Linked DNA regions of Xenopus tropicalis. The protein of the gene in region 3 interacts with the protein of the main gene of each other region in a pairwise test. Links are inferred from orthologs where the notes say so. Each region holds a gene or a part of one and is shown on either strand. Other genes may lie near its edges.

What was found.
Region 1: the proteins of tfip11 (region 3) and tnnt1 interact in binary tests that used the Homo sapiens proteins (3 or more experiments, as listed by UniProt). The two-hybrid records come from large-scale screens. The link is inferred for Xenopus tropicalis from reciprocal best matches to the Homo sapiens genes TFIP11 and TNNT1.
Region 2: the proteins of tfip11 (region 3) and smarce1 interact in binary tests that used the Homo sapiens proteins (3 or more experiments, as listed by UniProt). The two-hybrid records come from large-scale screens. The link is inferred for Xenopus tropicalis from reciprocal best matches to the Homo sapiens genes TFIP11 and SMARCE1.
Region 4: the proteins of tfip11 (region 3) and sh2d4a interact in binary tests that used the Homo sapiens proteins (3 or more experiments, as listed by UniProt). The two-hybrid records come from large-scale screens. The link is inferred for Xenopus tropicalis from reciprocal best matches to the Homo sapiens genes TFIP11 and SH2D4A.
Region 5: the proteins of tfip11 (region 3) and imp3 interact in binary tests that used the Homo sapiens proteins (3 or more experiments, as listed by UniProt). The two-hybrid records come from large-scale screens. The link is inferred for Xenopus tropicalis from reciprocal best matches to the Homo sapiens genes TFIP11 and IMP3.
Region 6: the proteins of tfip11 (region 3) and ccdc151 interact in binary tests that used the Homo sapiens proteins (3 or more experiments, as listed by UniProt). The two-hybrid records come from large-scale screens. The link is inferred for Xenopus tropicalis from reciprocal best matches to the Homo sapiens genes TFIP11 and ODAD3.
Region 7: the proteins of tfip11 (region 3) and leng1 interact in binary tests that used the Homo sapiens proteins (3 or more experiments, as listed by UniProt). The link is inferred for Xenopus tropicalis from reciprocal best matches to the Homo sapiens genes TFIP11 and LENG1.

Annotation. Positions count from the first base shown.
Region 1 is NC_030683.2:104,578,815-104,583,013, reverse strand, and holds the start of tnnt1 (troponin T, slow skeletal muscle), read right to left. Parts: upstream 2,801-4,199; 5' UTR 2,690-2,800; intron 1-2,689. UniProt on the Homo sapiens protein: Troponin T is the tropomyosin-binding subunit of troponin, the thin filament regulatory complex which confers calcium-sensitivity to striated muscle actomyosin ATPase activity.
Region 2 is NC_030686.2:8,337,395-8,340,894, forward strand, and holds part of smarce1 (SWI/SNF-related matrix-associated actin-dependent regulator of chromatin subfamily E member 1), read left to right. Parts: intron 1-948; coding exon 949-1,053; intron 1,054-3,500. UniProt on the Homo sapiens protein: Involved in transcriptional activation and repression of select genes by chromatin remodeling (alteration of DNA-nucleosome topology).
Region 3 is NC_030680.2:15,107,828-15,112,004, reverse strand, and holds the start of tfip11 (tuftelin-interacting protein 11), read right to left. Parts: upstream 2,801-4,177; 5' UTR 2,689-2,800; intron 2,515-2,688; exon of another isoform or gene 2,217-2,514; intron 1,351-2,216; 5' UTR 1,346-1,350; coding exon 1,146-1,345; intron 1,028-1,145; coding exon 877-1,027; intron 325-876; coding exon 168-324; intron 1-167. UniProt on the Homo sapiens protein: Involved in pre-mRNA splicing, specifically in spliceosome disassembly during late-stage splicing events. Intron turnover seems to proceed through reactions in two lariat-intron associated complexes termed Intron Large (IL) and Intron Small (IS).
Region 4 is NC_030677.2:96,324,914-96,328,977, forward strand, and holds the start of sh2d4a (SH2 domain-containing protein 4A), read right to left. Parts: upstream 2,801-4,064; 5' UTR 2,678-2,800; intron 2,628-2,677; exon of another isoform or gene 2,545-2,627; intron 1-2,544. UniProt on the Homo sapiens protein: Inhibits estrogen-induced cell proliferation by competing with PLCG for binding to ESR1, blocking the effect of estrogen on PLCG and repressing estrogen-induced proliferation. May play a role in T-cell development and function.
Region 5 is NC_030680.2:118,013,675-118,017,783, reverse strand, and holds the start of imp3 (U3 small nucleolar ribonucleoprotein protein IMP3), read right to left. Parts: upstream 2,801-4,109; 5' UTR 2,637-2,800; coding exon 2,500-2,636; intron 895-2,499; coding exon 787-894; intron 1-786. UniProt on the Homo sapiens protein: Component of the 60-80S U3 small nucleolar ribonucleoprotein (U3 snoRNP). Required for the early cleavages during pre-18S ribosomal RNA processing. Part of the small subunit (SSU) processome, first precursor of the small eukaryotic ribosomal subunit.
Region 6 is NC_030679.2:139,191,730-139,195,229, forward strand, and holds part of ccdc151 (coiled-coil domain-containing protein 151), read right to left. Parts: coding exon 3,466-3,500; intron 2,732-3,465; coding exon 2,575-2,731; intron 1,545-2,574; coding exon 1,389-1,544; intron 1,126-1,388; coding exon 1,041-1,125; intron 1-1,040. UniProt on the Homo sapiens protein: Component of the outer dynein arm-docking complex (ODA-DC) that mediates outer dynein arms (ODA) binding onto the doublet microtubule. Involved in mediating assembly of both ODAs and their axonemal docking complex onto ciliary microtubules.
Region 7 is NC_030683.2:104,890,826-104,894,258, forward strand, and holds leng1 (leukocyte receptor cluster member 1), read left to right. Parts: upstream 1-1,302; 5' UTR 1,303-1,335; coding exon 1,336-1,467; intron 1,468-1,820; coding exon 1,821-2,006; intron 2,007-2,140; coding exon 2,141-2,397; intron 2,398-2,657; coding exon 2,658-2,865; 3' UTR 2,866-2,933; downstream 2,934-3,433.

The DNA.
Region 1 (4,199 bases), on a different chromosome or scaffold from region 3:
GGTGCGTAGCAGGAACAAGATGGAATCAGCACGTACCATTTTATATCAGTGCTGTGGCTGTCAGCAGTGCTGTGAGTTGTGCTGAAGGGCCAAAAGTTGGACAATCCAACATTACTGTATATAAAACCTGGGCCCCTCCACAATTAAAGATGGTTGCAACTAGATCATTAATGCAAGATGCTTAAGGGCTTCAGTGAACTCAGTCCTGGCAGAGACGCACTGTGCATATTTGTGTGAGTATTGAAAGGAGAATATATCAGATTTAGAAGTAAGGTTTATTTTCAGTTTGCACAGATGAATGTGAGGGTATAGCAGTTCTAATTTTTACCCACAGTGGGAACTCTGAAACTTGGAGGTGGTTGTAGCTCCAGGGATCCCCTGCCTCAATACACACACTTGCATGTGATTTGGCACAGGAGGTGGGAACAGCGCACTAGTAGAAGTATAGATGCAAGTCCAGGAATCTGACTCCTTATCCAGAAGCCCATTATCCAGAGAGTTCTGAATTACGGAAAGGCCATCTCCCATAGACTCCATTTAAATTAAATAATTCAAATTTTTTAAAAATAATTTTCTGTAATAATAAAACAGAACCTTGTACTTGATCCCAACTAAGATATAATTAATCCTTATTGGAGCCAAAACAATCCTATTGGGTTTAATTACTGTTTAAATATTTTTTTTGGCAGACTTAAGGTAGGCGATCCAAATTACGGAAAGACCCCTTATCCGGAAAACCCCAGGTCCCAAGCATTCTGTATAATAGGTCCCATACCTGTACCTATAATAAATGGCATCAGTTCACACAATGACTTCATACAAAAGCAGTTGCTGTTAAACTACAACCCTCTGAATCACCTTTGCCATCATTGAACAGTGAGATGTGTACTTCTGCATCAACTTAAGGGTTGCAGGTTTGGCAATACTGAAATACAGTGTCTATCTTGCTCTATTATCACCATGTGGCTCTACTGTTGCGGTATTACCCTGTTACCCCACCAACATCCTATATCTAACTAATGCTCTGCAATGCCCAGGGCAGTTCCTCCTATTAGCAACTCCCAAACAACAGCTGTGCAAGTAATTCATATATTATGTACTGTTTCCCTGTACTAGTAAAAGTTGTGCATTTGCTACAGAAATCCTACTATAGTTAAAGGAACAGTAACACCAAAAAATGAAAGAGTTTTAAAGTAAATTAAATATAATGTACTGTTGGCTTACACTGGTAAAAGTTGTGTGTTTGCTACAGTAACTCTACTATAGGTTATATATAATGAGCTGCTGTGTAGCCCCGGGGGCAGCCATTCAAGCTGGAAAAAAGGAGAAGAGGCACAGGTTACATAGCAGATAACGGATAAGCTCTGTAGAATACAATAGTGTTTTATCTGTTATCTGCTATGTGCCTGTGCCTTTTCTCCTTTGAATGGCTGCCCCCATGGCTACACAGCTGCATTCTTTATATAAACCATAGTAGTGTTTCTGAGGCAAACACACCAGTTGTACCAGTGCAGGGCAGCAGCACATTATATTGGAATTTCTTTTATACACTTGAATTTTTTGGTGTTACTGTTCCTTTAATATAAACAAAACTGCTGTGTAGCCATGGGGGCAGCTATTCAACCTTTAAAAGGAGAAAAGGCACAGGTTACATAGCAGAAAACCAATAAGCTGTGTAGATTCCAATTGTATGTTACAGTGTTTATCTGTTATCTACTATGTAACCTGTGTGTTATCCTTTTTTTCAGCTAAAATAGCTGCCCCCATGGTTACACAGCAGCTGATTTATAGAAACTATATTAGGGTTTCTAAAGCAAACACACAAGTTTTACCAGTGCAGGGCAACAGTACATTACAGTAAGTAAAGTAAGGAGGAGTAATCCACAAAATATAAAGAGAAATGTAAGTGATGAAGAATAATGACTAAAATTAATGTAAAACAAACCCAATTACAGAGGTAGTTAGCCTTTTAACTTTTAGTATGAGGCATAATGAGACAGTTTGCAATTGGTCTTCATTTTTCAGATTTTGTGTTTTTTTTAATTATTTAGCTTTTTAATCAATAGCACTCCAGTCACGTTCTACTTTCTGGTCCGCAGAGTCAAACAGATCAGCAGTCCAGCAGGTATGTTCAGCACAATCTCTATTCACTGAGCCAGTGTTAAACAAAGGGGTTGCGTGTCCCTTTAAATTGGAAAACGGAAAGAAGTAGTAATAGTGCTATAAGGTGGTTTATATAACAGTGAATGGGAGACAGTAGGGATGGGTTTGGGCAAAAAAAACCCCTAAAGCTGCTAAATTATTTTTTAAAACTGCAGTTGTCAATTGTCAATGTCCAAGAGTATTCTCCTTGGCAGGAATAGTACATATATAAGCATAATCATGCAGTATGCTGGGAATAAAAAGGCTGGCTCTTTAGGGGAGTAAAAGGCTTGAAAGGAACATATAGGCTCTGGAACATTCTCCTTTTGTTCATAGTGTTACAGTGAGCTCAAACCAAATGTAGCCAGAAAGAGAAATGCAAAAATCACAATATACAAAAATAATTCTCTGCACAGAAAAACTAATTATATTGACAGACTAAGACATGCTAAATAAAAATATGGGATGAGTGATTCAGTTAATCAGTTCTATATATATGTGCCTTGCCTTTTCCCTAATACTAAGCATGATGTTCCAGCTCACTTACCTGGAGCCCTTGTCAGCGTGAGAGGCGTCGGAGGTTATGATTGGAGTGACAGACAAATGGCTTTTTCAAATGCCCTTTGTAGTGGGGCTGTCCCAAGCATGTGGTGGACGTTTTCTTTTAGAAACCAGACCCCACCGTCTGGCCCTGATCATATTGTATTGGGCAGGGGGCTGGGGAGGAGGGGGGGATTATCCAACTTCAATAAAAGGAAAAGGGAGAGGAACAGCAATCACCCTATGGAATATTTTTCTGTCCTCACATGTGCATTAAATTAGCACATACACACACACACACACACATATATATATACATATATCTATCTATCTATATATATTTGCAATTGTATGGTAAGTCTTTCAAGCACTTATTGATAATATACTACAGGTGTGGGATCCCTTATCCGGAAACCCATTATACAGAAAGCTTTGAATTACGAAAAAGCATGTCTCCCATAGACTCCATTTTAATCAAATAATTTTAAAACTGATTTCCTTTTTCTCTGTAGTAATAAAAGATATAAATAATCCTTATTGTATGCAAAACAATCCTATTGGGTTTAATTAATGTTTTATTGTTTTTTTTTAGTAGACTTAAGGTATGGAGATTGAAATTACAGAAAGACCTCTTATCTGGAATACCCTTGGTCCCGCACATTCTGGATAAGGGGTCCTATACCTGTATCATAAAAATATTTAGGAATCCTATATGGGTTAGCACTTGTTGGGCTCATATTAATATAAAATGAACAGTGTTTCATTTAAGGCTAATAGCACACGAAGAGCATTGACTCCCATACGCTCCTTGCTATAACTGTACTGACTGGCACTGCCTCGGCCTGTGTATATATTGTAACTATAAAGTGCCTGTGGTTTATTTTTTAACACAGGTGTATACTGCCCCTTTAAGCAGTTTGATTGAGCCAGAGGAGAGAGTGCCCTCTAGTTGAAGAAATAAGCTGCAAATAATAGCTGCGATCAATAATAGATGTGCAATCTCGGCATGTGTGTATGGCACAGATTATCTTTTCCAAAGTGTGGGAGGGAGCCTAAAAGATTTTGCCCAATGGTCTGGTAACATCTGCTTTTGTCATTTATTGTATTGCTTTGCTTGATGCACACACAGCATATACACAAACACTTGCAGTTTGGCATTTTACAGTTTTTCACTCCCCAGATATTAAAGGGGAAATCAACCCAAGCACAGATTAAGCTCTTTGAAAAGTAAACATAATTTCAAGCAACATTATAGCAATTAACAATTACAACAATTAAAAATATGCAGCCTTTTCATAATTTTTAATGTAATAATATGGTTTGGAACAGTTACCTAAGCCTAGCCCCCTGTTCTCCTGCTGGTCTGGCTGACTATAAGTCTAAAAGAAAATGTAACAGTAGCTGACTGCTCTCAGCCTGCATCCTCCAAATCCCACAATCCCGTGCACACGGGTTGTCAATAAGGAATAGAACATTGCAGTGCAATGCATTGTGGGGTATGTAGTTCCTGCATGCTA
Region 2 (3,500 bases), on a different chromosome or scaffold from region 3:
TTACTCTGCACGATTCATTAAGTACAACCTGATCTTTTAAGCTTAAACGTGGTTGGGAAAGGCCACTAGTCAATATGGCACTCTTACAATTAATATTGGTAGTGTATTTTACAGCTGCAGAAATGAAGTGCTCACACCAACCTACTGTACTGATTTTCTGTCAGGCCAGGTTATATTAAAATGATATCGAAGAAATCTAGGCAGCCTCTGAGCAGGCTGTAGGCCCAAGCCCCCAGCCAGGCCTGTATATGTACAAATTCATTGTGGTTCCTTAAAGGAGAAGGAAAGGCTAGTAAAGAGTTAATCTCAAGCCGCAGGCATACCTTCAGTTGTCTCAATGGTGCCCTTAAGTCTCCCCATATTTCACCTGTTCAGATGATCAGAAGCCAAACAGGAAGAAAAAATGCTGAGCTGTGTAAAGAAAGTTCCCATAATGCCTCACTCCTCACTCCTTCACCGAGACCAAGTGTACATGCTCAGTTAGATTATGAGGAAGCTTCCTGCTGATTGGCTCAGATCCACATTCCTTGGGGGGGGGGTGAGCTCTTAGCATTCTTGAGGGAGGGGGAAGCAGGAGAGAGGAGAAAGCAGAGAGCTGCATGTCTCTGGCACATGAATTACAGACACAAGAAGTCAGTGCAGCGTTTCTGTGAGTGCTTATGGCTGCATTTACATAGACCTTTCTGATAAAGCTTACTGAGTTTTTACCTTTCCTTCTCCTTTAAAGTCTGACACCAATAAATTTGATTAAATTTCCTTTTAACCCTCGGAATATTGTACATTCACCTTTGAAGGTCCCAGCTGCTTTTACATGCCATACGCTTATCACATTCATTTGTGTTCTATTTATTTTATCTCCAGAATTTATTTATTTTTTAATATAGAATTTTTCCCACTAGTTTGAGCTCATTTCTCATTTGTGTTTTTTGTCTCATTTGTTTCCATCAGCAAATGCCCAGCACACCAGGGTTTGTGGGATACAATCCATACAGCCATCTTGCCTACAACAACTACAGGCTGGGAGGGAACGCAGGCAGCAACAGCAGGGTAACGGTAGGAGAATGAACAGATACGTCACTCTTGGCGTTTCTGCACAGCTAAAGCTGGTGTTTGGGGGGGTGATATTTAACCCAGTAGTGGCTATTTGTGCCTAAAAAATGAATGCATTGCATTTATCCATGTTTGCACAGTATTTTCACTTTGTAGATTATACTAACATAAGATTGTTCTGAAGTTAAAGGTTATGTTGCCTAGGGGCTGTAAATAATCATATTGCATGAATGTTTATTACATTTAAACTTAAGGTCTATGCATTGAATGCCATTGCCCTTCACTCCAGCCCCAGCTAATTGCTGTACTGGTTTGTAAAGGAGCTGGTTACCTCTGATTAGCTGTGCATTTTAGTTTTTGGCTTTCTGGCAGGGTTAATTCCTGCTGTGCCTTAAGGGCACCTACAAATAATTTTGTGAGCCATATTTACTGGGGTTGGTGATTTACATGCTGTTCACAAGCCTTAAGTTTTAGGCTAATGCCAGACGAGGCGTAGGGCGGATATTTTCTGCAAGCGGAAAAACGATTTCCGAAAATTCTGCCCTACGCCTCCTACATGTGCCTGCACCCGAATGAATGGAATACACTCAGGTGCAGGAAATACACATAAAAACGCAAGAGTTTGAAAGTCTCGTGTTTTTATTCATATTTCGGCTACATGTGCCTGCACCCGAGCGTATTCCATTCATTCGGGTGCAGGCACATGTAGGAGGAGTAGTGTGGTATTTTCGGCAAGTGCTTTTCTGCTTGCCGAAAATATCTGCCCTGCGCCTCGTCTGGCATTAGCCTTACTCAGTAGGGCAATACTTACATAGGCATTTTATAGCTGGTAGCCAGCACTTCATGTTAAGGGCCACCTTCTTACCTATATTTCACCAAATTTGGAGCATGCTAGTAAGTCTGGTAATGTGTGCACTTTCCGTAGTGCCATCATGTTTGGGCACATTGTCATTATTTTGGGGGATATAGAGAATTACCCTGCATGCACACTGGCAGAGTTTCAAACAAATTGACTATGCTAGCCTCTAAATTTGCCATTATCCTATGAGTCGGTTCAACTGGTTTTTGCTTCTGGCCATTAATAGGATCCGCAATGCAACCTTGAGGCTACAGGCCTTGATTTATATGTACAGAATTATGTTATGAAGAATCAAAGGGGTCTCTGCATCCTACCATAATTACTATCTGCACAGTTCAGCCTCTGACAAGCCATCTGTTTATTTTCAGTGAAAGACATGTATTTATATAGCGCCGGCAAGCTACATAGCTCTGTACATTAATTAAGATCTAAATCTGGAGTGTGAAAGTTTTACTCATTTTGTATATTTTTTTTTTTTTTTTTGGATTTTAATCCAGGACATTTGCGCTGTGAAGCATCAGTGCTAATGGTGTGGGGTTTTTTTCCGTAAAAGGCCTGTGACAGACGGGGAGATTAGTCACCGTGGGACAAATCTCCCTGAAATGCCATCCCACCGGCTAGGGGTGGGATGGCAAACGCGGTGCCGAAATCGGCAAAGTTTCCTATCAAGGCAATTTTGGCAAAACGCCATGCCGCATTACCCATGCCACCGGCGATTTACATTCTAGCTGGTGGGATGGCATTTCAGGGAGATTAGTCACCCGCGACAAGGGAGATTTGTTGCACGGCGACTGATCTCCCCGTCTGTTACAGGACTATTTACCGTTTCATTAGACATGATTCAGGCTTTTATTTTTAAAAGAAAAAAGCGCACAACAGTTATATGAACTTTAGACAGACATACCTGATTCCACAGATTGAAAAGGAACCATGATAGTCTGTCTCAGTGCTCTTTAAGACCAATAGCCCCCTCAGTGTGTAAATACCTCCCTCACCATGTTCCATTATGAAGTGATGAATTCTGAGACTTGAGTCCCTCTACTTCCTAGAGATATTTCTTCATCACCCACTATAAAAGCTACATAAAGTCCCAGAATCTCATCACTTTACAGTAGAAGGTAAGGGGGGGGGTTGTATTACACTGTGAGCCTATGGAAGATTGGGAAATTCTTCATTAGAGAAACATGGATTCCTTTTAGGAATAATGTGGCCATTAGACTGCTATACATTTACTGTAGGTATCTATCAGTTCAGCTATGGGGCAGGTTTGAACATTTCATCTGGGAGTGGCAGTGGTCGACACATGTATGGCCACGTTAAGACTATTTCTTTAATTCTGCATTATATGTATTATTTACATTGTGCAAGAAGCTCTCAAGTTGTATTGTATGACTTGTATTTTTTGGTTTGGAAGCTAAAGGGGATCCAGTTATGGATTTCTCTAGCAAAGGCAATGCTGTTGCCGTATATTTACTGCGGTGTTTTGTCCGTGACATGAATTATTCAAATTGCATTGTGGGAATTGTGGAATTTTACAGGAGAGTCTGAGAAAATAGATCCCCCATGATTGAAAGGCAACACCACTGTTTAT
Region 3 (4,177 bases):
AAGTTTTCTTATCCTTTAAAGAATATCCTGGCTATAAAATACATTTTTCTCACATACTTACAGTCAGATTATAATAAAAGCTACTATTGCACGTTTCCATCTGAGAATAGCCCCTGCCTCAGTAGAGCTTCTAATTTAACCTCACTGGCCAAAGAACCCAGTTATACCTTGAGCATTCTTTCCCAGGCCTCTTCCTTGCACATAACCCATCTTCTGAAGAAGTTTCTGGCCGATTCCCTTGGTATGCCGCTCCCAAGAACCAAAATCTGTGTTTGACTTTATTCCTCCAGCAAATGTCCTCTGTGATGGTTTGAAATTACCACCCTGTAAAATACACAAACTGAAACTGACTGAAGCTTTGGAATGAAACAATGAATATAGTGTGTCTTTCTTACAATAATAGTTCTCTCTCTTATAAATGGATGGTTCGTCCTTAAGTTAATTTTAAGTAGGTTATAGAAGAGCAAGTTCGTAGCAACTTTTCAATTGGTCCTCATTTTTTTTAAAGAGGGTCACTGACCCCGGCAGCAAGAAACTATTGCTCTGTGAGGCTACAATTACGCTGTTATTACTTTTTTTTTTTTTTTTTTAAACTTATCTTTCTATTCAGACCCACTCCTGCTATTATTCCAGTCTCTCATTTGAACCACTGACTGGTTGCTAGGTTATGTTGGTTCATAGCAACCATATAACTGTTAGAATTCCAAACTGGAAAAGTGCTGAATATAAAGCTAAATAATAATAAAAAAAAAAAGAAGACCAACTGCAAATTGTTTTAGAATAGCAACCAAAAGTTGGTTTAAAGAAGAACACCCCTTTTAACCCTGTCAGACTATTACTATTGGGAAGTACAAACACTCCTTAGACTCATCCTACCGTCCTTAGCTTCTTTGCCTCAAAATCCTTTGGGAAAGTTTCCCTCCTTGCTTGCGTTTCACTGTCGGAATCGCTATCAGATTTTTCTTCTGCAGCAGGCTTACGGATCCCAGCGCTGATAAAATTGACAGGGGCCGAGTAGTCTCGAGACCTATGAAGAAATAAAATGAAAGGTGTCCGTATTGGGTGGTGCTGTATCATTAACTGCACGCAAGAAGGTGACTATTACTATTGAGTGACCCCTCCTACCAATCTAAAGACCCACCAACCTTTTCCCCCCAAAGCTTGGCCTCTCATCATCAGAGTCCCGCTCTGCCCACATCCCATAGGTCGCCTCCTCTTTTGTTTGGAAATGCTTTCTGCGGTTGGGGTTAAACTCATTCTGTAGGTCCCAGTCCGTGATCTCAAAGTTCTCCATTTCCACTCCATCGCTGTCCTCATCTTTGCCATAAAGGTGCGACATAGACATGGTGCCTGAGAGAGGGAAACAATATTTAACAATATATAAGTTGTTGTGTTTTATAGAATGGCCAATTCTAAGCAACTTTTCAATTGGTCTGCATTATTTATTTGTTATAGTTTATTAAATATTTGCCTTCTCCTTCCAACTTTTTAGGGCTCTGGCACACGGGGAGATTAGTCGCCCGCGACAAAACTCCCTGTTCGCGGGCGACTAATCTCCCCGAGTCACCGGTGGGATGGCACACGCGGCAGCACGATTTCGGGAAATCGACGAAAAAGCCTTGCGAGGCAACTTCAGTGATTTCCCGAAATCGCGCCGCTGCGTGTGCCATCCCACCGGCGACTTACATTGTCGCCGGTGGGATGGCAACTGGCGGCAACTCGGGGAGATTAGTCGCCCGCGAACAGGGAGTTTTGTTGCGGGCGACTAATCTCCCTGTGTGCCAGAGCCCTTAAATGGGGGTCAGTGACCCTGGCAGCCAGAAATCTATCGCTCTGTGAGGCTACAGTTTTATTGTTACTTTTTGTAACTTTAATTTTCTATTAAGGCCTTCTCCTATTCATATACCAGTCTCTTGTCCAAACCACTCCCTGGCTGCTAAAGTAACTTGGCCCTAGCAACCAAATAGCTGGTGAAACTCCAAACTGGAGAACTTCTGAACTGAAAATAAAATAACTAAAACACTACAAATAAAAAAATGAAGACCAATTGCAAATTGTCTCAGAATATCACTCTCTACATCAAACTAAAAGATAACTCAAAGGTGCCCAACCCCTTTATGGCTATACAGGGTTGTGCCTTGGGGCCCCCCAAAACATTCCATGTCCTTTTCCTTGGATTTAGGTAAAAAAAAAAAAAGACAAGTGATAGAAATAACCTTGAACAGTATATGTCCAGTCGGCTGCGTTCCCCCTCCTGATTGGCCAGAATGGCTCAGTAGCCACAGCCAACCAGAGAAGTACTACTACTTACAGTGACCCATAAGGGGTTAAAGAGGGCCATGCTGAAGTGAGTGATGGGAGAGGAATGGGGCATGGAGTGAGTAAATGGCATGCTATGGAACTGGATGCATTACCCAGATACAATGCAGCAATCAATGTAACAGCATTTAGTAAGGGACAATAATCACAGGTCAGGATTTAAACTACAACTCCCATAATCCCCTCAAACAGTTATGGGGAAGAAACTAATAGCGCAGCCATTGACACCAGACAGGTACACATGGCCATTCCGCTCCTGTGCGGGAACCAGACACCCCGTATTCACTGAGCAGCCCCGGCTTAGTTATACCAAACACAAACAAGTGGGGCTAAATGCTAAAATAAGCTTCCATGAGGCGTCATAGTTACCGATATTCCAGTTCCAGGTACCTGAGCCCCGGGTTCCACAGGCTGCAGTAATGTACGCGGCACACTTCCGGTCACGCCTACACAATGACGCGTACGGGACGCGACACCGGAAGTAGGGTTCTACAAGCGTGGGGTTGTGTCAGAATCAGACTGGCAGGATTGGAATAGGGGCTACGGGCTAGGGGCTTGGTTGCTAGGGGCTTGGTTGCTAGGGGCTTGGTTGCTAGGGGCTAGTTTAATATGCAAGCAAGTGGGGTTCTGCAAGCTTGGGGTTGTGTAATAATCAGACGGGCAGGATTGGAATGCTAGGTGCTTGGTTACTAGGGGCTAGGGGGTTTGGTTACTAGGGGCTAGGGGCTTGGTTACTAGGGGCTAGGGGCTTGGTTACTAGGGGCTAGGGGCTTGGTTACTGGGGGCTTGGTTGCTAGGGGCTTGGTTACTAGGGGCTAGTTTAATAAGCAAGCAAGTGGGGTTCCGTAAGCTTGGGGTTGTGTAATAATCAGACGGGCAGGATTGGAATGCTAGGGGCTAGGTGCTTGGTTACTAGGGGCTAGGGGCTTGGTTACTAGGGGCTTGGTTACTAGGGGCTAGTTAAATAAGCAAGCAAGTGGGGTTCTGCAAGCTTGGGGTTGTGTAATAATCAGACGGGCAGGATTGGAATGCTAGGGGCTTGGTTACTAGGGGCTAGGGGGCTTGGTTACTAGGGGCTTGGTTGCTAGGGGCTTGGTTACTAGGGGCTTGGTTACTAGGGGCTTGGTTACTAGGGGCTAGTTTAATAAGCAAGCAAGTGGGGTTCTGCAAGCTTGGGGTTGTGTAATAATCAGACGGGCAGGATTGGAATGCTAGGGGCTAGGTGCTTGGTTACTAGGGGCTAGGGGGTTTGGTTACTAGGGGCTTGGTTACTGGGGGCTTGGTTACTAGGGGCTAATTTAATAAGCAAGCAAGTGGGGTTCTGCAAGCTTGGGGTTGTGTAATAATCAGACGGGCAGGATTGGAATGCTAGGGGCTAGGTGCTTGGTTACTAGGGGCTAGGGGGTTTGGTTACTAGGGGCTTGGTTACTAGGGGCTTGGTTACTGGGGGCTTGGTTACTAGGGGCTAGTTTAATAAGCAAGCAAGTGGGGTTCTGCAAGCTTGGGGTTGTGTAATAATCAGACGGGCAGGATTGGAATGCTAGGGGCTAGGTGCTTGGTTACTAGGGGCTAGGGGGTTTGGTTACTAGGGGCTAGGGGGGTTGGTTACTAGGGGCTAGGGACTTGGTTGCTAGGGGCTTGGTTACTAGGGGCTAGTTTAATAAGCAAGCAAGTGGGGTTCTGCAAGCTTGGGGTTGTGTAATAATCAGACGGGCAGGATTGGAATGCTAGGGGCTAGGGGCTTGGTTACTAGGGGCTAGGGGCTTGGTTACTAGGGGCTAGTTTAATATGCAAGCAAGTGGGGTTCTGCAAGCTTGGGGTTGTGTAATAATCAGATGGGCAGGATTGGAATGCTAGG
Region 4 (4,064 bases), on a different chromosome or scaffold from region 3:
CTACTGCTACTGGAAGAGAAATATTTCATATAATAGCCTGCTCTTTTTTTTTCTTTCTTTATTACAGCATGAATGGGGACTATGTAAAATACAGGTGTAGTATTTGAAAAGGATTTGCAATCGAAATGTGTATTTGTAAATGAAAATAGTATGTAGAACACTGTATTGTTTAAAACAGTGTTGTTTTGGGGGAAAATGTCATACTCCTTAAACTGCGAAGTTGTAGAGGAAAGTTTGTACCAGACCCAGAAATGCAGAACAGCTGGTCAACTGTTTACCTGTTAGAATGCTAACATCTGACTTGTTATAGTTCAATAAAAAAGTCAATACCTTGTTCGAAATAGGAACAAAGCACTGCAAGATTAGGCATAGGCCCTACCCTGGCTGTCACGTCTTCACACTGACTAGGAATACCTCTGCCTATGGCTGACCGAGACCGAGACTAGGGGGCATTTCCAGGTGGTGCCCTACATTCAGTCAGCTTCCCACATTACATTAAAGGGGTTTTTAAACCATTAAAATGTTGTGTAATTAAAGAAAAATGATGTTCCATTATATATTAATTGCAAATTTGCTGTTTTTCAAGTGTATTGTAAATGTTATTGAATAAAGTGTCTGCCTCTTGCTGTTCTCTTCACTGCTGCTTCTGACAATTGAAACAGTATAGCCCTCTTCAAGCTGTGGCTTCATTTCCCACAATTCTTTGAACATGCTGTTCACTGTGTGATAGGGAATATTATTTCAGTTGTACATGTAGTCAGAAACAGAAGAGACTACAAAGGGGCAGAAAGATGCTGCTTTCAATAGCACATACATTCATAAGTAATCTTAAAACAACCAAAAGTGTGTAATTATGGTATACTGGCAAGTTGCAAAACTTTGCATTTTTAGTTTAAAGTTACTTTAAGGGTGTAGACACACAGAGCTACTAGTTGCAGCTACTTGTCACAGTTACAGAAATAGACAATACCTATCATCCACCAATAAGCGTCTCTACATGTGTTTCAGCGGAGGCAATTCTCAGTATTGTCTATGACTGGGTATTTTCTGGTGTTTAGTAGCCGCAGGACACGCTGCTACCATAAGGCGGGTTGAGAAACTTGCCTCAGGCGGCAGTGCCCCCAAAGTTATCAGGGGCAGCAAAAAGCTGCTCCTGGTAACTTTAAGAGCCGAATTTCTGAGTTTTAAACTGGAAATTCGGCTATGCCAGTGCAGAGCGCACAATTGCACTTTCCACACTAGCGATGCGGCCCCCCTGGACCCCATTCGGTGCTGTGAAGGTAAGCATGGGGTTCCAAGGGGGGGGGGGGCGGCACCGGTGGTGCTCGGGTGGCCCAGGGGCCAAAAACCCCCCTGAGTAGCCATGACAAGTAGCTGCTACTTGTAGCTCTGTGTGTCCACTTGTCAAGTGGAATTACCAGTTTTTTTTTTCTGCAATGGCTTGCTAAAATCAACAAAGCAATCAACAGGTGACAGAATCCAACAGGATTGTCAATAGCAGTTCCCTACACATTTAACATTCCTAATGAATTCCATCACCAAGCTCCTGACATAATGATGGCATCATTCATGCACAGCCTAAACTATTTTGATGTAACAAATCTGACAGTGGAATGCTGGGACTGTATCTGCACAAGTGCAGAAGCTTGCCAATGCTTCCACTGGGCTGGATGACCTTGATATGGCTTCTACCTTTACAGGGAAGCACAAACACATCTTATGTATCCATTTCATAAAATAACCCTGAGAAAGTTGCTAAAGGTATACAAATGTTGCAGAAAGCCACAAAACTTTTAAATAAACATGTAAACGGCATTATTAACATGGCTTTAAAGCGCTGATTGTTGTAAGCCAATGCATATACTGTATATGCTTTGTTTGTTTGTTTTTTTAATCATAGGGCTACTTTTATGCGATGCACCAAGCCAGGTATGAAACAGCTGGTCACATGACAAGTGGCAATTAGGGGAGAATCAGGCTCATTAACACGTGCATAATTACCGGTTTTAACGCCTTCAATGTTACATGCCGGTTTGCCACATGACTGTGACTCACAATGGAATAAAAGATGTGTTAATTGTTTTAGAATGATGCTATTTTCTCAACAGTGTGCATAATGATATTGCTGTATACTTTCACAACTGGTCTTTCCCTAAAACAAACCCGGCCGAGCTCCCAGCAGTTACTAAAGTATTTGTGGAAGGGATGGGTGGGGTGCCTGTAACAGCGCCTAGCACTGCGCGCATTGGCTCACTATATTATACAATAGAAATGTTTAACCCCCCAGAAAAACAATAGCTCTGCTTCCTCAACTTGCTTTTGGAAGCGTTTTGTGCAAGGCAACTAAAACGCTTTCACATTTCAAATCCATTTTTATCGACTTCTTCCAACAACTCCAGCGCAATGGTGCCACAAATATAGCGCCACCACCAAGGAAAACGTACCGAAAGCGCAAAGTGGCAACAGCAAATCTTATGCAGGAAGAAGTGCAAAGCGCACAGCAACCGCAAATTATCTGGGATGTGTTTGTTAATTCTGCCTTACCTGTGCGAGGTAAGGAACTGCCCTTGAAAGTCCCAATACACAAACTGTCAGTAAGGCGCTTTCTGTAGAACTGAACACACTCCTTGGAACAAGGAAACACAAAAGAGAAAGAATACAGATGTTTCATACATACCGGAATATGAGAGATCCCCAGGGAAACAGCACAATGACAATCCCGTCCCCGCACTTAAGGAAGTACAACTAAACCACAGTTTGTCTCTTGAGCTGGGGTGAAATCCGCACTACTATGTTTGCATAACTCCTCCCCCCCTGGCGCTGCTGCTGGATACTGGCCATTCTGTAGCTTTCCTAGAGGCTGCGTGTGAAGCGCCACCTAGTGTAATCTCTGAAAGAACTGGCAAGGACCACAATTATGGAACAGTATCATTTTGACGTCGTTTCTTATGACAGGAAAAGGTGATGTACCGTGTTAGCCAGTCAAAAAATGTTTATAGGGTAACCCTTTTGAAATAAAAAATAACAAAAGTGAAATAAAGGTGATACCTTTATTGGCTAACTAAGATAACCATAGCAAGCTTTCAGAACATTCTAGTTCCTGATTATCAGCTTGAAAAAGGAACTAGAACGTTCTGAAAGCTTGCTATGGTTATCTTAGTTAGCCAATAAAGGTATCACCTTTATACCACTTTTGTTATTTTTTATTTCAAAAGGGTTACCCTGTAAATGACAATAAGACTTGTGCTGGAGAGTCCTTTTCCATGATATATGTCATAGAGTTGTGTCTGAAGTAAACACAAAAATGTTTGGTTTTCAGACTGCTGGAGAAAATATTAGCGGGTAAGAGTACAAAATAGTAATATAGTAAGTTAAGTTGAAAAAAGACACACGTCCATTAATTTCAACCTTAATGCCTATATATAACCTGACTAACTGGGAGATCCAGAAAAAGGAAAAAAAAAACATCTGAAACCTCTCTAATTTCCTGCAGAGGGGAGAAAAAATCCTTCCTGACTCCAAGATGGCAATCGGACCTGTCCCTGGATTAATTTGTACTAAGAGCTATCTCCCATAACCCTGTTTTTCCTCACTTGCTAAAAAGCCATCCAAACCCTTCGTGAAGCTATATAATGTATAAGCCAGTATGACTTATTCAAGAAGGGAATTACACAACTACACAGCTCTCACAGTAAAAAAATATTTTCTGAATATTTAGATGGAATCACCTTTCTTCTAAACAGGGTGGGTGCCCTTGTGTCAGTTGCATGGACCTACTGGTAAATAAAGCATTAGATAGATTATTATATGACCCCTTTATAAATTTATATATAGTTATCATATCACTCTTTAAGCGCCTCTTCTCCAGTGTAAACAACCTAAACTTGGCCAGTCTTTCTTCATAACTGAGACTTTCCATACCCTTTACCAGCTTAGTTGCCTTTCTCTGTACCCTCTCTAATTCAATAATGTCCTGTTTGTGCACTGGAGACCATAACTGAATGGCATATTCTAGATGGGGCCTTACCAGCGCTCTGTAAAGGGGAAGAATAACCCCCTCCTCC
Region 5 (4,109 bases), about 100 Mb from region 3:
TAACAAATGCCAGATAAGGGAACTCTTACACCCAAGCCATACCTACCATCAGGTTGTGTTCCCAAAGAGTTGTGTTGGCCAGTATTGCAACACACAAACCAAAAAAAAGTTCAATGCACAATCCGAATAAATGTCTTAATTATTTAATTATCTTTTGTTTAATTATGTCTTGCCTGTCCTTGAGTGAAGTCTGTCCTTAATAAGAATAAACAATTCCAATTACAACATGTTTTTCAAAAAGAGAGAACATCAAATAAGAGGTAAAACCATGTGGAAGTTTGGCTTATCTTCCTACAGAATACAAGTTTATGGGGGGCACACCAAGAATAAAGGTGAACTAAAACTTAATATTTGAAGATGGCTTTCCCACCCTTGCACATTTTCCTTACCCGTTTTGAAAAAGTGCTGTATTTTTGACCTAGAGCAGCAAGCCAAATACAGATCTGACTGCCCAAGGAGCAACAGAGGTGGGGCTGCTTATTATACCTTATAGGTGCTTACGGTCATCCGACTGCCTAAATCATTCTGTAGGCATTTGGCCTGCATAAAAAAGTGGTCAATACACTCCAAACCGTTGTTCAAGAGCTAAATGCAAGTGCAAATTCAAAATATGTATGGTTCAAAATCTATACTTCATATACCTATTTAATAAAAATGACGCGACAAGATGTAGAGTGCTGGCAGCACCCACACAATGGAAAATAAATACCTATAAATGTATATAAAGGATATATTTAAATTTGCAGCCTATCCATTGGGGCTAATAAAACTTCATTTCATACTTACAGTTTCTCTAGGAGCTTTGCAGTACTTTGGACACGAAATTTATCTTTTTCATCCAGGTCTCTAATTTTTTGGGCAAGTTCTCGGATATTTCTACTGAGTTTGTTGTACCTACAGGACAAATGAATAGCAAGAATAAGTGAACTATTAGACCCCTATAGCCAACACAAAATAGGCACTGCAATAAAGGAAATATAAAGGAACAGTTATGAGCATGTTTCTTTGTTAAAGTTTGATGCAAACCTTGTTCATAAATAAACATGGTGACATTGCATAGAAATGCATACAGAAGACAACACTCTTTTAAGCATTCATGCATTATTTGATTACTAATCAAGCTTGCAGCAAGTACATTTCATATAAACCCACTATTTAAGGGATGAGGTTAACACTTCTAGTCTCTTGCCTGAAAAGTACTACATGCTCTTGATATTTTCCATCATCTAAGATCTCATTAGCACAAAATACTGGAATATGGTTTCTGATAGGATAAAACTTGGAAAGCAAGGTTAGGGTTAGAAGGGCCAAAAGGTCCTCTAAATAAAGAAATGTGGAGAAATGTCTTCTGAAAACAGAAGGTGTTCACATGCCTCACCTCAAGCTATACACGTAGCATTGCTCAAACTGTCAAAAAAGTGTGCATATCAATATGTTGAAAGAATGGCAAGTGCCATTCTGCTGGGCAGTGTGTATTAAATACCAACTTGCCCCATGCTATAGCCCTAAAGCCTAATGACACAAAGGACATTTACTGGGCTTTTGGCATCAAGCATTATTTTTACTGGTCAAGTGGCAAACCTACTTGTGGAAGCAAATGAATAATAGGGATCATGCATCATATAAGGCAGTGGTCCCCAACCAGTAGCTCAAGAACAACATGTTGCTCACCAACCCTTGATTGAAGAAGCTCCCAGGGCCTTAAAGGAGGTTCTTATTTTTTTTAACTCAAGGCTTGGAGTAAGTTTTGGTCTCCATAAAATCCACCTGTAGGCTGCCAGTTCACATAGGAGCAACCAAATAACCAATCACAGCCCTTATTTGGTATGCCCAGGTAAATTTGTCATGCTTGGGTTTCACTTTTTACACCTGAATGTGGCTCACAGGTAACAATGTTGGGGACCCCTGATATAAGATATTAAGTAATGTAAACACATGTCACACAACAGTATGCATCTGGGACCACTGAGATTTCAGTGAAAGTCAACATTTTCAGCCTCTGTAAGCAATGCAATATACCACTGTACAGCAACAGAATTAATCACCCCATCAATATATTTCATCAGCAGTGTTTCAATCTAAGGCACCATCACACTGATATTACTATATAAATATGTTACTATTAGAAAAATAAGGAACCCTTCTAATACAAAAAGCAATTTTCTATCCTTGAAGGATCTTCAATCTATTCTTGTATTTAAACACTGATTGCCATTAGACCAGCCTTGCTAATTACATTTTAAAAAGTGTCTCTGATTTGTCATGTGTTTCGGTCAGCATGTTTAATAAACATAACAAGACTGAGTTCAGCTGTTAACAAGAGCCTCTGCGTTCCCGGAAGTAGGCCATATTGTTGTCATGGTGAAAGTGTCATGGCTGCGCCCGTTTCACACGTGTACGAGAGGTATTTATACACTCTAATCGCCATTCTGTAAACAACATATCGGAATGAAACATAGCTGTAATGATTTCGCTTTGACATAGTTAGGCGACACTTACTTAGTATAGTCTTCTCGCTTATCCAAATGGTATTTTCGCAGCACTTTGACTTCATGGATGTTATTATCCACCTCCCAGTTAATAAAGTCTACCTTTTTCAGCAGCTTCTGCTCGTGATACTTTAACTTGCGAACCATTTCGCGTGAGTTACAAAGGCGAAGGAGAGAAGCAGGGCGGAAAGATACGTTTATGCTGCGGGCCCGGGGTACCGCTTGTTCCCCTCTGTGAGGCAGAAGCAGGGATCGGTACCGGAAAGCTCTGTGAGGTCACGGGTAGAGGGCGGGGCCTCCTTGGACAGCTGAGCGCATGCGTATTGCTGAGGCTTGATGGAGTTACTGTATACGCTGTACCATATCTCATACCGTTACTATTTCCCAGCTGTTAATGACAAGGGGTGGTTAATATCTTTCAACATCATTTCCAAGTACACTGTTGTAATATATGTACTGTTTTGAGCACCTAACAGTATATGACAAACCTAGACGTGCATGCTAAATTTTTTACAGATTTTAACTATATAACTGCATTTATTGCCACATTTTCAGTGACTACAGATGATAGAGTGAAACTATCAGTAAACAGATACTATGAACTAACAATGACTGGTCATAGTGCTGCTGCCCTACAAGCATATAAATAAATATGTGGCAATATACTGAAACACTTTTATTGTTATTAATACTTATTTATATAGCACCAGCATATTCTGCATTGCTGTATAATAGAAGGGCAGGATCAGACTGGAAAAAAACCCAGTGAGCCCTGCTAACCCAGACCCCCTATTGCAGCAAGGTTGCTATGAGGTATACCTGCATAGTGGGGGGGGGGGTTTGGGAGGATGGCAGGGGCCCCTAGAGGGAGTGGTGGGCCCCTGAAGTGGCAGCCCTGGTGGGCCCTGCACATTCCAGTTTGGCCCTGTGGAAGGGTGTGCATACATCTAACATATAGGGGCAGATTTATCAAAAGACGAGTTTCGAATCCCGAATGGGAAAAATTCAGATTGGAAACGCAAATTTCTGAAGATCGCAAATATCACGAAAATGCTTACGAAAAAATCGTATTTGTCACGATAATAACGTATTGGCGATCTGAAAGTCACAAAATTTTCGTACCGAACGATTGTAAACAGCGGGCAAACTGATCTGATTTTTTCGCGCTAAATATAGAAAATAGTCGCGCAAGGTACGAAAAAGTCGCGCAAGGTACGAAAAAGTTGCGGAAAATACAATTGAACGAACGCTCAGAGCATTCGTGGATAAGTAAATGTGCCCCATAGATTACATAAAACAAAAAATATATAACCAATATGAGAAGTAAAGAGATACCTGCTCAATAGAGCTTATGATCTAAAAGAGGAAGGGGGTATGAGAAACCAGGTGAAGGGACTTGTATGCAGTTCGTTAAGTCTACTAAAAAATCAAGAAAACATTTTTTAAACCCAATAGGCTTGTTTTGCATCCAATAAGAATTATTTATATCTTAGTTGGGATCAAGTACAAGGTACTGTTTTATTATTACAGAAAAAAAGGAAATCAGTTTTAAAATTCTGAATTATTTGATTAAAATTGAGTCTATGGGAGTTGGACTTTCCGTAATTTGGAGCTTTCTGG
Region 6 (3,500 bases), on a different chromosome or scaffold from region 3:
GCTATCAGCCTCCCTGTCCCCTGTACCAACCATGCAGCTATCAGCCTCCCTGTTCCATGTACCAGCCATGCAGCTATCAGCCTCCCTGTCCTCTGTACCAACCATGCAGCTATCAGCCTCCCTGTCCCCTGTACCAACCATACAGCTATCGGCCTCCCTGTCCCCTGTACCAACCATGCAGCTATCAGCCTCCCTGTCCCCTGTACCAGCCATGCAGCTATCAGCCTCCCTGTCCCCTGTACCAACCATGCAGCTATCAGCCTCCCTGTTCCATGTACCAACCATGCAGCTATCAGCCTCCCTGCCCTTTGTACCAACCATGCAGCTATCAGCCTCCCTGTCCCCTGTACCAACCATGCAGCTATCAGCCTCCATGTCCCCTGTACCAGCCATGCAGCTATCAGCCTCCCTGTCCCCTGTACCAACCATGCAGCTATCAGCCTCCCTGTTCCATGTACCAACCATGCAGCTATCAGCCTCCCTGTTCCCTGTACGAACCATGCAGCTATCAGCCTCCCTGTCCCCTGTACCAACAATACAGCTATCAGCCTCCCTGTTCCATGTAACAGCCATGCAGCTATCAGCCTCCCTGTTCCCTGTACCAACCATGCAGCTATCAGCCTCCCTGTCCCCTGTACCAGTTCTGCCACTATCAGATTTCCGGTCTCTTGTACCAGCTATGTGTCAGTCTTCCAGATCCCCTATACCTGTAGCTATCAGACTTCTCACTGCCTGTTCCAATCCTACACTAATCCAACCATGCAGCAATTCCTACCCATATACCTATGCCGAACCCTCTGCCCATTTATTCTCAATTACTATCAAATCAGCCCTAAAAAGTGAAAGTAAATGTCTGTTCACCCTCTTGCACACATGGTATAACCGAATCAGTGAAAGAAACACACACATGGATATCAAGAACATTTTGTACAGACTGCTTTTTTTTTTTTTAAATTGGTTCGCTACTACCCCTCCCAGCTACCCAACCATGTGCTTTGTAATGGTTTTGTATTGCTAAAGTTAGTGCCAGGAACACTTACCTTCAAACATGTCCTGCTTGGATGGAGCTGGAAGGGAAATTCGTATGTTGTGCGCTGGCAGTTTGCCCTCAATGCTTGCCTGGAACTGAGAATATTGGGATTATAATATAGCGCATAAATGAATGCAAATCTATGCCCCTTTAGGCGCACTCCCAGCATCAAACAGTTAAGTACCAGCCATGGTACTCTCCCCCTTCATGATGCACAAAGCCATTAGAAATCACCAAAATCAATAGGAGTAATGTTCATTCCTTACCTACACATAGGGCGCATTACTCATGCAAGGTGCAAAAAACACAGGCCCAGTGGGCTGTGCGCTTCAGAACCATTACTTTCTCTTTTACTCACCTCTTCTTCATCCATTTGTTTGATAATCTGTCCCAGATCCTGCCCCTCCAGCTCTTCCAGAAGCTTCTGCAACTTCTCCTCAGTGATGCCCATTAGGTCAAGGACTTGCTCATCTGACAATGGAGAACCATCCAGAGCAGGAAAATAGACCTTTGGCTAAAATGGTGAAGAGATTAATCATAATATGGTTGTACTGTGCAGCCAAGAATGATACCCAGCTCCCCACGAGAGTCCTGGGAATCTGCTCCGAGGATGCTCTTGGGCCTAAAACTAACTTTGACTTTTAGTACAGGCTGTCTCCAGGAATTTAGCACTACCAAGGAAGCAGGCCCAGACTGCCAATCTGTGGGTTCAGGCAAATGCCAGAGGGGCTGCTGTAAGGTGCCATAGACACTCACTATTTATTGGGCCTATGGGGGGCTGTTTGGGCCTCTGTGTACTGAAAATCAGGCCCAGACTGGCAATCTGTGGGTTCAGGCAAATGCCAGAGGGGCTGCTGTAAGATGCCATAGACAGTCACTATTCATTGGGCCTATGGGGGGCTGTTTGGGCCTCTGTGTACTGAAAATCAGGCCCAGACTGGCAATCTGTGGGTTCAGGCAAATGCCAGAGGGGCTGCTGTAAGATGCCATAGACAGTCACTATTTATTGGGCCTATGGGGGGCTGTTTGGGCCTCTGTGTACTGAAAATCAGGCCCAGACTGGCAATCTGTGGGTTCAGGCAAATGCCAGAGGGGCTGCTCTAAGGTGCCATAGACACTCACTATTTATCGGGCTGGTTTGGGCCTAACTGAACTTAAAATACCAGGTCCTATTTTAAATCCCAGTCCAGGTCTGCAAGGAGGCTAACCAGCCTCCGATTTGGAAAACTTTAAAAAAATTCATAGGTTGTGAAAAAAATTGTCAGTAGTCCACAGCTGTAAGGTCATGTGAGTCTAAAAGGTTCTGACTCTGGCTAAAGAGTTTGGGTCCTGGAATATGCAAAGAGTGCCGAGAATTCTGGAATAAACCGGGAGCTCAATGCATCCCTAAAAATTTCCCCTGGCACCAGTCAGCCATTCCACTTTCTGTTGGCCGCTTTCCCAGGCTGTTCAGGAAAACCTGCAGCTCTCAGCAATGTACACTGTAGGATGGCAGCCAATCAGCACTGAATACATTTCCTGTATTGCATCAACCTAGTACTCACCACCTTGATGTGCTTGACTTTGCTTGCTAGATGTTCCACTCCAGCTTTGGTCTCATTCAGAATTTTGGACATTTGTTCTAGTTCCTCTTTGGTTTTCTCACACCTTTTCTCTTCTTTCTGGAGGTGACTCTGCAGCTCTTCCAGATCCTGCTGCCCTCTATTATGGAACAAAGTAAATGATGAGAGATATTATGTGGCTCTAGGCATTACAGTTAGGGTGAAGACACACGGAGCTAATTAGTAGCAGCTACTTGTCACGGCTACTAAATGCTGGAAAATCCCCTGCCATAGACAATACTGAGAATTGCCTCTGCTAAAACACACAAAGAGACAATTATCAGTAAATTATCAGCATTGTCTTTTTTTGTAGCCTTGACAAGTAGCTGCTACTGGTAGCTCTGTGTGTCTTCACCCTTAAGGTGGCCATACACATAGGCCTTATATTAACAACAGACCCCAGTCAGCCACTCCAGACCAATTCAGCAGCCATACACGTAGCAATAACGATCGTTCCTACCCTCCACTGACGTTCAGGGCTGAATTGTCAGATATGGAGGTAAAAACAATAGAAATTCTACCTCCACCTGCCAATTCAGTCCTGAAAATTTTGCTTGGGCGCCTTCAATGGTGCAATCTGGGCAATCACAGGGGTGGGCATATTGGGAACAGGTCCGCTCCATTGGTGACCTTGTGCTCTTTACATGTATGGCCAGCACATATGGCTAAATATAGAACATAGTTCCCTCTGTTCAGGATGATGGCCCAAACAAGCATTAAGTGAGATGGTTCTACAGCTCTGCTAGCAAACCTTTCTGCAGATGCAATGATGTGACTGAGGATTTCCATGACCACATAAGACCACTCTCAGTGGTCACAAGGAAACATATATACCTGGACAATTTGGCTTCCCCAGAGTACTTCTGGTT
Region 7 (3,433 bases), on a different chromosome or scaffold from region 3:
CAGCCACTGGCCCTGGAGATTTGGGGAAAGGTTTTGGAAATGTTTCAATATTGCTTTAAGAATACAACCCCTGATGTTACTGGACTACAGCTCACCCTTCATTATATGTTAAATTGTTCTGGGATTTGTAGTCCAGGAACAACTGAGTAAAGTTTGGTTGAGCAGTGCTGCAGGCTTTAGTGTACCTTTAAACCAGGGGTCCCCAACCTTTTTTACTCATAAGCCACAGTCAAACGTAAAAAGACTTGGAGAGCAACACAAGCACCATAAAAGTTCATGGAGGAGCCAAATAAGTGCTGTGATTGGCTATTAGGCAGCCTCTATGCACACTATCAGCTTACAGGAGGCTTTATTTGGTAGTAAATCTTGTTTTTATTCAACAAAAACTTGACAACAAGTCAGGAATTCAAAAATAACTACCTGGTTTGGGGGCACTGAGAGCAACATCCACGGGGTTGGGGAGCAACATGGTTGGAGATCACTGCTTTAAACCCTCCCATCATCCACAGTTTAGGAACAAAAAAGAAGTGGAACCCTTGTGCCACTGCCATTGTTTCTTATTTGAACTCCTTCCTTCCTAAAATGGTGCAGGAGTAGGAAGTCTTGTCCCAAATCAGCCCTTGTTTTGTCCATTAATTGCAAACAATCTGGTTTCCACAGTCTGCACATCAGACGCTTATTCCTGCCCCGGCACTGTGGATATAAAAAAAGAAAAATCAATTCACAGCCTACAATTAAGTGCTTGGTAAGTATGAATGGTGCCTACAGTAGCTCTTAGTTCTCTTGTTTGCACAAATATACTAGCATTCTCCCATGCCATGAAAAAAATCCTAAAAACTCAAGATTAGTTTTGGTTTATTTCATCCATTTTAATTCTTCTAAATTAGCCCTTGTTTTAAACTGTTTCTACATTTCTCCCATCCCTAGTTTCCCCTCTTTCCTTTCTGGTCAAATTGAGAAAATTATTTTATTTGTTCCCTGGCCCAAGCTAAAACTAAACAAAGCAAAAAAAAATGTTTTTTTTAAATGAAAATCATAAAGACTGGGAACGCAGTGACTTTTCCCTGTCAGAAGTAGGCGCTACAAGCAAAGACAATTACAATAGCAAGCGGACTCAAGTGACATGCCACAACCAACAGCTTATCCTTATGTGACACGGACGTACTCCCGCCCCCAAAGGTTCGTACGTACCACGCCCCCGCGCTTACGTTATGCGGCGTGACGCAACGATCTCGCGAGATGAGATTTGTGACGTCTGGATTTGTGTCCGGAAGGAATCACGGAGTTGAAAGTTAAAGCAGGATTATTTGGTGGAATTGTGACAGGACAGTTGCCATGAATATCCTGCCTAAGAAGAGCTGGCATGTGCGTAATAAGGATAACGTGGCCCGCGTTAGGAAGGACGAGGCACAGGCTGCGGAAGAGGAGCGAGTGCGTAGGAAACGGGTGGAACTCGCAGAACAAGAGGTGAGAGTAGCGCTGCAGTGAAACTATAGACCCCGGCTCTAAAGGCACACTAGGCCTTATATACTACAGAGGCAAAAATGTGCATGTTGCACACAGAGAGCGATTGCGCCTGTTTCTTGCATCAAGCTCACATTGCGCATATCTCTGTAAAGGCGCGGAATGGTATACCGTTTGACACTGGCCTTGTGGTCAAATGTTCTCCATGGGGCAGTGGTTCAACTGTAATACTCTTGGCATCTCCAGTAGATCTACATTATTCTTTGGTACTCAGTCATGGAGACACTGCTGCCAGAGGGTGCCAGGTACATTAGACGGAAGGTGTCTTGGTTGCACATGTGTGTTTGCCGTTTCAGGCTCGGACAGATTTCCTGCGTAAGAAGGCTCGTCTCTCCTTGCCAGAAGAGTACAGGAGTGATGGGACTTCCTCGGTGGAACTCACCAAGGATTCTGGCCACATCAACTTTTTTCAAGAAGTGGAGGAGGGCAAAGGAACAAACAAAGGCAACAAAGAATATGAAGAGGAGAAACGTAAAGAAAAGGTCTGTTATTTTACTTTACTGCAGGAGAGGCTGTGTGTTTTGACAACTTTTCCCTTACTGTATTTTAAATTATTTGTATTTAACTTGATTTCTTAGGTGGGTTTTGCTTTGTTTTTTATGGATAATTTACACAGGAGCGGCAAGAAAAAACCCTGGGCATTCTTACATATTTAGGACAAAGTGCTGCAGAAGCCCAAACCAGTCGCCCATGGTACCAGGAAGTCCCTGGTCGCCACTGTAAGGCCGAAGATGGCAACGCAAAGGATGAAAAGGTGAAAAACCTGTTAGATCCTTTACATGACATGGAGAAATACTTGCAGAAGAAATCTGGAGAAAAGAAGAAATTTAAAGAAGAAAAGCAAAACAAACATAAATCCAGGCAAGAAAGCAGGTAGGTTAGACAAAATTGGAATTTGCTGCTAGTCTACAGGTATTCCTGCTGCTTTAATTAGAAGCCCATGGATCCCAGTGCTCAATTAAATCCACTGCCTTTGTCTCTCTAGTTCTTTTGTTCTGTGCTGAATGAGCTAACTCACAATGTAAATATTTGGCAGAAGTAGTAATGTAGGCAATGTCTCCAGCCTCTAGAAAGTTTGGTCTTGGTAGGAGTGTGCTGCATGATTTAGAGTGATTTGTTTCTTTGTCTTGTAGACCCACCAAGCCATCAATAGAGCAACTAAGGCAGGAACGTCTCAAGAGAGAGGCAGCAGAGAGAGCTCGGGCTGAAGCCTTGCTATCAGGGAGAAAGGAGTCTGCAGAACCAGAACAAGAAATGGATGACCGAACACGCCGTTACAATTCTCAGTTCAACCCACAGCTGGCACGAAAACCTAAAATGCGAGAAGAGCCACAGCGGTGATGTTAAAGAAACTAATGGCAATATTTCTACATCTCATAGCTCTGATAATAAAATGTATATATTTCCAAGTTGCTGTAGAATGTCCTAATGCACTTGGGTTAATGGACCACAAGCCCCTACAAAATGCCAGACGTCTGCACTGAGTAGCAGGACAGGAGAGGATTACCCATTTTTAAACCACACAGGTGTGATAGAAAGTAAATTCTACATAGGTTGTACAGCAGTGCTTACATACACCAAGGCTTTTTCTTGGTTGCAATTATATAAAACTGGATTCCTGTAATTGGTGCTCTACTTTATACCAGGCAGAAAAATCATTCTAGAACAGGAGTTTTCCTTATGCCTGTTTCTACATGAGATTAAAGAAAATGTTGTTTGATACAAGGAAGATTAATCATGAAACAAAAGCACTGGGGAAAAACATGAAGTGTCAGGTTATTGCCAAAACAGTCACATAATTTGGATTGTGAACTACACAGGGATAGAGAGGTCTGGCATGTTTAGTGATTACTGTCTTTTCAACAATGAAATCTCTCAAACATAAGTATACATTTTCAGAAATATGCTT